Linked DNA regions of Mus musculus. The protein of the gene in region 2 binds, or shares a complex with, the protein of the main gene of each other region. Links are inferred from orthologs where the notes say so. Each region holds a gene or a part of one and is shown on either strand. Other genes may lie near its edges. The genes, in order: Sf1 and Prpf40a.

Region 1 (4,458 bases), on a different chromosome or scaffold from region 2:
AAAGTAGGATTAGTAGTAAGTACTGTGAGAAGCAGACAATTCCACGCCTCAAAATCCTCAGCAATCTAAGAACCAGGAAATGAAGACCTCCAGACTCAGAGCACCTTAGCCTTGAAGCTGTCTGAGAAGGACACAGCTCAATGGACCCAACGAGGTTTCTGCCCCAAAGAGGATGTTTACTTGGTTAGTTGAAAATGTTTATCAAGTGCACTTTTTGAGACAGCAGGACAGATATAAAACTTCCATTTATTATGACCTTGGATTTTAAGTAATTTTGAGGTTTAATTCTACTGTGGACAGTAACCTAATTTTTTAAATTCTGCCACCACTTCATTTCAAATCAAACAGTAAACCCTTCCCAGCAGAGTCCTTTAGTGGTAAATTACAAGAGCCTGTTTTAAGACAGCTCTCTAAAGATGGAACAAGAAAGGATACTGAAGGGAAGGATTAAATTCAACAAAATGGGTAAACTATAAATGCTTTCCGAGCCACTTTTTGCTTAAACTATTTTGTACCTATAAAAAAACGAAACCACAATTTTAGGGAAAGGGAACCATGACATTATGGTGAAAGGCCATGCTACAAAAAAGCAACTGGTTTACAATACCTGCAGTGTTCTCCACTGGGGCCTGTCCAGAGAGGAAGATAGCATTCACCTCACCAATGAGCAAGAACAGCAGCTGAGAAGGGGGCTGCCGAGCTAAGAGCAGGCCCAAACAAGAAGCTGCAAATGCAGGACTGGCCAAGCAAATCACGGATTACACAGCTATGAAAGCATAGCTCATCACACCTTGTTCCCATGACTAAAATCTTAAGACTTTCAACAGGTTCATCACTCAGAACAATCTGCAGTAACAATCTGAAGATGCACCTGGATGTAGAACGTGTATTTACCTATGTAAGCTCTTTCCTGTTCCCGAGTCAGTCCAGGGGGTATAACTGTAGGCATGCCTGGAATCACTGTCTTCTGCTCCATTGTGTCTTGGTTCCATCGGCTCCTCTTCCTCTTCTTACTTGGGAAGTCTAAAGACAGACAGAGCCCATCAGGCAGAAATATGAACCAGAAGGCAAGCAGTTCATGATAATTAAAACTAAACTGAAATCACCTAAATTTTTAAAAAGAAAGAAATCTCAGAGGTCAGAGAAAACAAGCAGCCATTTTAAAGATCCTCCTGTCAGGAAAGTTAAGGAACAGTTCACATTTAGTTCTTTTAAAACGAAAATACTAGAGAATGTAACAAGGAACACATTTCTTTTGTAGTGTTAACATCAGAGTTTTTGCATATATTGGGTAAGAGCTCTACCACTGATGCATATCTCCAACTCTTTGGATCTTTTGTTTGTTTTTTGAGACAGAAGTCCCTTTAGAGAACCCTGGCAGTCTTAAACTATGTAGACTGGCATCAAACTCAAAGCCCCACCTTCCTCTGCCTCCAGAGTGCTAGGATTAAAAGCATGAACCATCATGCCCTTGCTTCCAAGACTTAATGCACAGAAACCCAGAATCAGAAGTGTACAGATACATATTATCAATTCTGAATGCCTTAAAGGGCAGAAAAGAGGAAACTGGAATGAGGCCCACAAAGCATTGGAACTCAAGCTACAAGAGTACACAACAAATCTCTTGCTACACATTACTGTGGGAAACATGCCATCCTTCAATATGACCATTCTTACTCGTGGAAAGATCAGTTTTCCTGACCAGTGGACACTTGTCATCAGAACTCTGATTTATTACATTCTTCCCTACATTTACCACACAAGGTTTTCTACTTCTCAGATTACAGGCCCAGAGAAAAAGCCTTTTAAAACAGCACGGGGAAAGCTGGTCACTCTGAGAACCTTCTAGAAAACAAAAGGAGAAAACCTTTAATAAATGATCGAACTCAAGCATCCCTAGTAGCCTTCCGAACTCGCCTCACTGTGAAAGGAGACACTCCTGCCACGGGGCTGCTAAAAACCATCAAGGGAGCCACTCACACCACGTCGTCCCGTGGACCTGACTCTCCTGTCCTCCATAGCAGGAGCTCAGGGGGCAACAGGTGGCTTCTTCCAAAACTACCACAATTGCGCCACAAAGCCTGAACGCCTCACTGCGTCTGCGCGAAGAACGCTTCCTCCCGCCCTTCTGGTTCTCGCGGTGCGCGTGCGCAATCGAAGCCTCCCAAACCAGGCCGCGCGTTCCCCGTGGCGCGTCCGCCCGGGCCTCCCGTGCGCGCGCGCGCGTCCTCGCCGCGTCCAACCGCGGTGGCGTTGCCCCTCCGTCGGCCGGTTCGGTTCGCCCGACGACTCTCGCGCTCTATCGGCCCGACTCACCTCCGCCGCCACCGGGCTGGCCCGGCTGCTGGTCCTGGCGCGGAGGCGACCCTCGCTGAAAAGAGCGGCGGCGGCGCGGGGGCGGCTGCTATGGCGGGTACGAGGCCGGGGGCGGCGGCGGTGACGGCACCGCCGCTAAGGACAAGGCCGTGGTTAGGGCCCCCGGCAGCGGCGTCCCGAGCGCCAATAGGCTGGGCTTGAAGCTGCCTCTGGGCCCAGGAAGTGGGGAAAGGCCTGGTAGGCCCAGCTTACCCAGCGGCGTGGCGTTCGCTCCGGTCGCCATGGCGCCCCAGGGGACCGGCAGCAGCGGTTCCTCGTCCTCCGCGGCGACTTCTCCTTCACGAACCTTCCGGGAGCTGGAGGTGGGGGGGAGGGGACCCGACTACGCGGCTGAAGAGCGCGGGGAGCCCGTCCTCTCACGCGGCGGGCGGCGGCGGCGCCAGACGCACAAAGAGGGAGGAGAAAGGACGCCGCGGGGGCGGGCTCGGGGCGGAGGGGCCGCGGCCTGGATTGGGCCGGCCCGAGGTGAGGTCGGAGGCAGCGGCCTCCGATTGGTGGAGCACTGGCTCTTTTCAATATGGGTCGGGATTGGCCGAACCGTTAGGCCCGGCGACGAAATGGCGGCGGGGCCGGGGGAACTGGGAGGTGTCGCAGCGCGCACTCCTTGTTACTGCGCGGACTGAGGCCAGAGTGGCAGGGGAATAGGAGGGGGCAAAGTCTGTGACGTGAGAGAACGGCTAGCTCATTGGCTGAAACCGATGGAGGTAAGCGCCTCGGCGTCGTAGTGCCACACGATTGGCTGAAACGATTCCCCTCCCCCAGGAGCCAGCCGCTCGAGAATGGAGAAAGCCGGGAGGAGAAGCCGGAACCAAGGCGGAGAGCAGGGGTGCGCATGCGTAGGGAGGGCACGCGTGTCCCCGCCCCCTTCCCCAGAGGGGCGGAACGGAGGCCTTAAGTGACGTTAGTCATTGTGCTAGAGGTAACTAGGGACCGCGGCGAAGGGGCGGGCTCGAGCTGACGAACAGGATACGTCGAAGCTGCAGGTAGAGTAGAGAAAGACTTCCTGTTTTCTCTGAAAAATAGTGTTACGAAATGGCTCAAAACTAGGGTAGTTGGTGGGTGTATTTAAAGACTTTATTTCATTCCGGTACAAGGTAGCCAAGTAGCCTGTCACCCGAGAACTTGAAAGGCTGAGACAGGAGAGCTGACATGAGTTTGGGGCTAACCTGGGGTACAGTATATCTGTCTCAAAAAATCCAGGTTCAATGGCACATACTAACTCTTGTAAAGGAAAAGTCAGGCGCTCCAAGTCCTTCTTGGAGAGGGGAGAGAAAGTCATTTCAAAAGTTAGTCTAAAAGTGTGCACTTCCAGGGAAATCTCAATGCGTTGGAAATTTGTTTCGGGTACCTTAAAATTACCCATAAAAATGGTAGGGAACTTGTAAATGAGACTGAGGCCAAACATTCCTTCCCATGAAATAAACATGAGAGTAATGAAACAGGTTAGCACAACATAATAGAACTGGGGATAGATAGGGTTCTCACAGAGAGGTTATTTAGACCCAGTAGGGGAAACAGTGTTTAATATGTAATTAGAGTGGCTAGAGAAATAGCAGATAAGACCAGGCACTGGCTACTCTTCCAGAGTCCCAGGTTGGATTCCTAGAACCTAAATGGTGACTCACAACCATCCGTAACTTCAGTCCCAGGATATCAGAACCCTCTTCTGGCCTCACAGGCACTGCATATATATGGTGCACAGACTTATATGCAGACAAAACACCCATATACATAAGACTAAGTAATCTTTTAAAATGATGTAGAAAAGTAGACATGTAGACAACAGAAGGTTTGGAGTAATCTAGGAATAAAGAGACTACAAAGATAAGAAACTCAAGTATGGTGGATGGTACAAGTCAACAGACTATGACAGGTAGGGAGGAAATGGCCATAGAACAGAGAAAGAGCAAATGTCTGGGCAGAAAATACAATTGAGTGGTAGAACCTAGCACATGTAACTCCCAGATTACATCAGCAGACATGTGAAAGTAGAAAAGCCAACTGTAATACCCAAGAAACCTATCAACCTAAGCAGAGGAGGGGCCAGCTCGGCAGTTAAGAGTGCTGGACAGCAGGGCGGTG
Region 2 (4,602 bases):
CAGAGAAACCCTGTCTCAAAAAAGAAAAAAAGAAAGAAAGAGAGAGAGAGAGAGAAAAGTAGAAACTTGGGATGGGGTGGGGGTGGGGATCCTTGTCCTAGGTTCAGAGAACAGTGCAAACCCAGCATGTCTCTTAACATCAGCCTTAGGACGTACAGCAGTACTTTCTTACACGTACTTTTTTGATCCTTTTAAAAGTAAGGGGCTCTGCTGTTTCAACTCAAAGTGTTCAATGCCTTTACGGCATTAAAGACTGTAGATTTAGCCAAAGATCTTTTCTAAATGGGTCTCATGACGGAGCAAGGACGTCCATCTAGGGAGAGAAGACAAAAGGGACGATAGCAGTCTCGAGGGAACGCTTTGGGAGGAGAGTGTGAATGGGGGCGTGTGATGTACTGGCTGCACTTTACGCTGGACAGCCTTTCAAGGCCTGGGCTTCAATACCTTTAACGATCATGTAGGCGATGGCGAGAAGGAAAGCAAGGAGGACGGCGAACAGCAGCGAACAGAGAATGGAAAGGGCTTGGATGGGCCACCGCCGAGCCTGGGTTCGCTTGGCCGCAGTGGCCGGGAAGATGCCGTTGCGCTTATCCGGCAGGACCGGAGACCCGTCCCCGACCCGGGGGAGTAGCGGGGCCCTCTTGGTCTCCGACGACGCCCTGGCTGAGAACTCTGCCCGCAAGTCGCGGGCCACTTGGTCGCATCCCTCGTCTTCGTCGCCTTCGCCCTCACCCCAGCTGTCCCCCTGAGTGTAGTCGGAATACCCGGGCCGAGTCGCAGGGCCTGGGGTAACCTGACGGCGCCTCCGCGCGCCCGCAAACCTCCAACTCTCCACGAACGACATGGCGGGAAAGACTGAGAGTCCCGCGAAGGTCGGCTGTCCACCACCGCCACGCCCCGCCCCGGCTACAGCCAATCAGAGACGGCCGTCGGCGGACCCAACCACCGCGCGCAGAACCGTAGGGGAGTGCAAGAGCGGGTTACCCGGGGACTCCGCTTCCGGAGGCGCCGTGGGAGCGCGCGCCCATGGCCCGCCGCGACAACACTCTCATTTATTCCACCCTTTCGGGTCCTGTGGGCACGCACCTCTCGAGCCCCATGACCGCAGTTCCGCGCCTTCCTAACCGCCAGTCGCTTCCTCCCTCGGGCGAGAGATCTCTGTCTTTACCGCTCCCCGCCAGATACAGTTCGCGCCTCCGCCCTTCACTATGCCGGGCGCGCGCGCAGCTCTCGAGTTTCTCCCCCCCACCCCCAAAGGCACGACCCCCTCCCCAGGGCAACCGCGCGCGCGCGCACTAGGCCGCTAACGCCGGGTGCCGCTTCCCCCGCCCCACCCCCACCCCACCCCTGGTGGCCTCAGGTTTGTGGGGCGAACGTAACTAGGGCGAGGGGCTGGACGCCACTGCCCCACCCCCCGACGGGGTGCGGTGGCCCGAACCCGGGAATCTGGGTCCCCGCCGTGTCCCCTTTCCTGGGGGAAGTTGGTAGAGTTTCCCCGGCAGAGCACTCGACGCAGAAACTTCCTCCGTCCCCCCTCCCCCCCCCTCCATGCAGGCGACGCCGAGCGAGGCAGGGGGCGAATCGCCGCAGAGCTGCCTGTCGGTCTCGCGCTCTGATTGGACAGTAGGGAAGCCTGTCAGTTTATTGGCCCCGCTGATCCCGCCCCGCAGCTCAGGGCAGCCTTTACCCTTTGGCCCCGGCGGGCGCCAGCCACTCAGATCGCTTCTTGTTGGTATGTGCAGCGGCAGTGGCCGCCGACGGAGCAGTCTGAGCCCGACGATGAGGCCGGGGACTGGAGCCGAGCGTGGAGGCCTCATGGTGAGTGAAATGGAGAGCCAACCTCCCTCGCGGGGTCCCGGGGACGGGGAGCGGAGATTGTCCGGCTCAAACCTGTGCTCCAGTTCTTGGGTCTCTGCTGACGGCTTCCTGAGGAGACGGCCCTCGGTAAGGGATCGGCGGGGTAGGGGAAAGCGGCACAATGAAAAACCGAGTCAGAGAAACAGGAAGCTCTCTCCAAACGGAGAAGAGCATATCAGGAAGAGAGCTGCAGATGGTGGGCTACGTCCCAAGGGGGAGAGATGGAGGGCGGGAACACACAAAGAAATAGGTGGGACCTTGGACTTGCCAGTGGTCTTGGCCTAGGTAGATAGATGCCTTAGGAAGAAGGAAGGTGCTGGGCCCCGGGCGGACTGTGCATCTGAGAGCCCCAGGCTTGACTTACAGTAGGGACACTTAAGTCTGTGGGACTTAAGGAGCGGCTGCTGCGGTCTTATTTCTCCGGGAGTGGTGGTGATTTGCAGGGCTTGGGGGATTCGGTTGGGAGAATTGGCTGCGGATACTTAGTTTCAAGCCAGGAACAATGGAAGTATTATATTTTAAGCTCCCTAAAACGGCATGAATTTGTTAGTGTCTGGGACAGTTTAACTCTATTAAAACATTTGTGAAGTACTCTTGGGTACCCGCACTCTGTTTTAGGTCTTGTCCATATGAATGTAATTTTAAGTAGTATAAGCTGGTTATGTGTATAAAGGTGACGGAAGTTGTGTTCATCGTAATAATTTTTTAAGTTGGAATTCAATACATAGTCACCAAGTCTGACCAGTCATTTAACAGTTTGTTAAGTCATTGGAGAGGGGTTGTAATCCGCTAATGGGTTTAACTTTTCCATTATTTTGTAAATTTTCAGGCCCCATCTAATAATCACTGTAGTGTAATTAAGATTAACTTCAGTATATGCTAATACTGTAATTTAATCACAGTGATTTAATATTGTGCCTTAATTGATGGGTTTTAGTTGTTGTTTTTGAAATGACATTTTAAAGAAGCATTTAACTGTCTCTCACTCTCCCTTTTTATTATTTTTCAGATGGGGCATCCTGGCATGCATTATGCACCAATGGGCATGCACCCTATGGGTCAGAGAGCAAACATGCCTCCTGTACCTCATGGAATGATGCCACAGATGATGCCCCCTATGGGAGGGCCTCCAATGGGACAAGTAAGAAGACGCTTTCCCTTTGGCTTGCTTAGTTTTGTTTGAGTGTGTCGAGATGTATTTAAGATGTAAGTCAGTGGTGTACTTGCAGCCCTTTAAAGGTTAGTTTATATCCACGTAATGTCTTCAAACAAGACAAAACATTACATTGCTCATGTCTGTAACCAAATTTTGAATGTAGTAAGACTGTATGAGAAAAAATTAACTGACTTCCTCAACAAAATTAAGCTTTAAAAAAAATAAGCCGGCTGTGGTGGCGCACGCCTTTGATCCCAGCACTTGGGAGGCAGTGGCAGTTAGATCTCTGAGTTCAAGGCCAGCCTGGATCTATAGACTGAGTTCCAAGACAGAGAAACCCTATCTGGAAAACCAAGCAAATAATTTAAAGTGAGAGTATACATCTAATCTATTTAACTTAGTGACTTTATTTCAGGCATTATAATTATTAATGGTCTAGGAGTAAATATATATCAGAAGATAATCGTGGTGAATGTGTAAAGCCTAGCATCAGAAAAATAGTAGTTACTTGGGGTTTTCATGTAGAATGAATTTTATTCTTGGAGTATCTTCCTCTTGTTTGGGGTGCGGAGGGATTTTCTGCTCTATTACTAATTCTTTCCTGGACAGTGCCAAATAGGTAGCTCATTTTCTACTTAATTTTTGAATGATAATTGCTTCTATACTCCTACTTGTGCGTTGCCCCTTGAATCTCTAGCACAAATCGTAAATGGACGTTTTTTCGTAGGAGTGATTGGATTAAAAGGTTTTAAGATGACTCAGGAACACGGGTAGAATTTCTAGAGAAGTGGTCAAGAAAGACAAGAGCTTGAGGTGCATCAACAGTTCTGTCCTATGCTAGGTTCTATATAATACACTGATTCTTAGGTGGGCTGGGTTATTCCAGTTGAATATCTTGATAAGTCATGAAATTTTTGATTAGCAGAATATTTTAGAAAGCCAGTTGTATATTTTCTTTTGCTAATGAGTACTATTGAGTTTGACGATGGTTTGAGCAATGAAGGCTAAAGTTACTGGTGAAATTACAGGGGGAAACAGGAACTTGTGTTTTTTTGTTTGTTTGCTTTTTTTATTTTAAAGAGTAGAATGGCTCAGTGTTAAGTGGTTTTCTTTTATATTTGGAATATAGCCCTTAATTTTGGATAAGAAAATTGTATTCAAAGGCACCAAACTGAAAAGATTCTGCCTGCAGGAGTTCCTTATAGAAAAGATTCTTTTGCTCTGTTACTCTCGAATAATAATACTTTAAAACTCCCTAGGATATGCAGAGACAACTCTTGATTCTTTTTCTGTATCTTTCCATCTCTAAGCAGCACAAAACCCTTCTTGTTTTCTTGGTAGAGCTGCTCTAACTAGATAATGAGCTTTAAAAAATATTTATTCTCTAATGCTCTGGTTCTTATTTAAAATTAGTTTCTTTCCACAGAAAGATAAAATAAAACAATTTGCTACTGCCAGACGCTTCTCTCTTTTCTGGGGCCTTCTGTGTCCATTGGGCCAGGCAAGGTAAGTTTGCAAGGGGTTGGCCTGCTTACCCTTGCTGTCCCGGTGCTGTTGCACTAGCAGTCCTGAGATGCCAGCTACTCATT

Evidence for each region.
Region 1: the proteins of Prpf40a (region 2) and Sf1 are in contact, whole or in part, in an NMR structure (PDB 8PXX), measured with the Homo sapiens proteins. The link is inferred for Mus musculus from reciprocal best matches to the Homo sapiens genes PRPF40A and SF1. Residues at the interface, in NP_001352526.1 of Homo sapiens: His164, Ser166, Tyr172, Tyr174, Ser181, Thr182, Trp183, Tyr213, Tyr215, Ser222, Arg223, Trp224; in NP_004621.2 of Homo sapiens: Pro575, Pro576, Leu577, Pro578, Pro579, Gly580, Ala581, Pro582, Pro586, Pro587, Pro588, Pro589, Pro590.

Annotation. Positions count from the first base shown.
Region 1 is NC_000085.6:6,362,229-6,366,686, reverse strand, and holds the start of Sf1 (splicing factor 1), read right to left. Parts: upstream 2,998-4,458; 5' UTR 2,600-2,997; coding exon 2,569-2,599; intron 2,168-2,568; exon of another isoform or gene 1,981-2,167; intron 1,024-1,980; coding exon 895-1,023; intron 1-894. UniProt on the Homo sapiens protein: Necessary for the ATP-dependent first step of spliceosome assembly. Binds to the intron branch point sequence (BPS) 5'-UACUAAC-3' of the pre-mRNA. May act as transcription repressor.
Region 2 is NC_000068.7:53,188,365-53,192,966, reverse strand, and holds the start of Prpf40a (pre-mRNA-processing factor 40 homolog A), read left to right. Parts: upstream 1-1,734; coding exon 1,735-1,944; intron 1,945-2,866; coding exon 2,867-2,998; intron 2,999-4,439; exon of another isoform or gene 4,440-4,519; intron 4,520-4,602. Other genes in the region: Arl6ip6 (ADP-ribosylation factor-like protein 6-interacting protein 6), read right to left, coding at 445-844.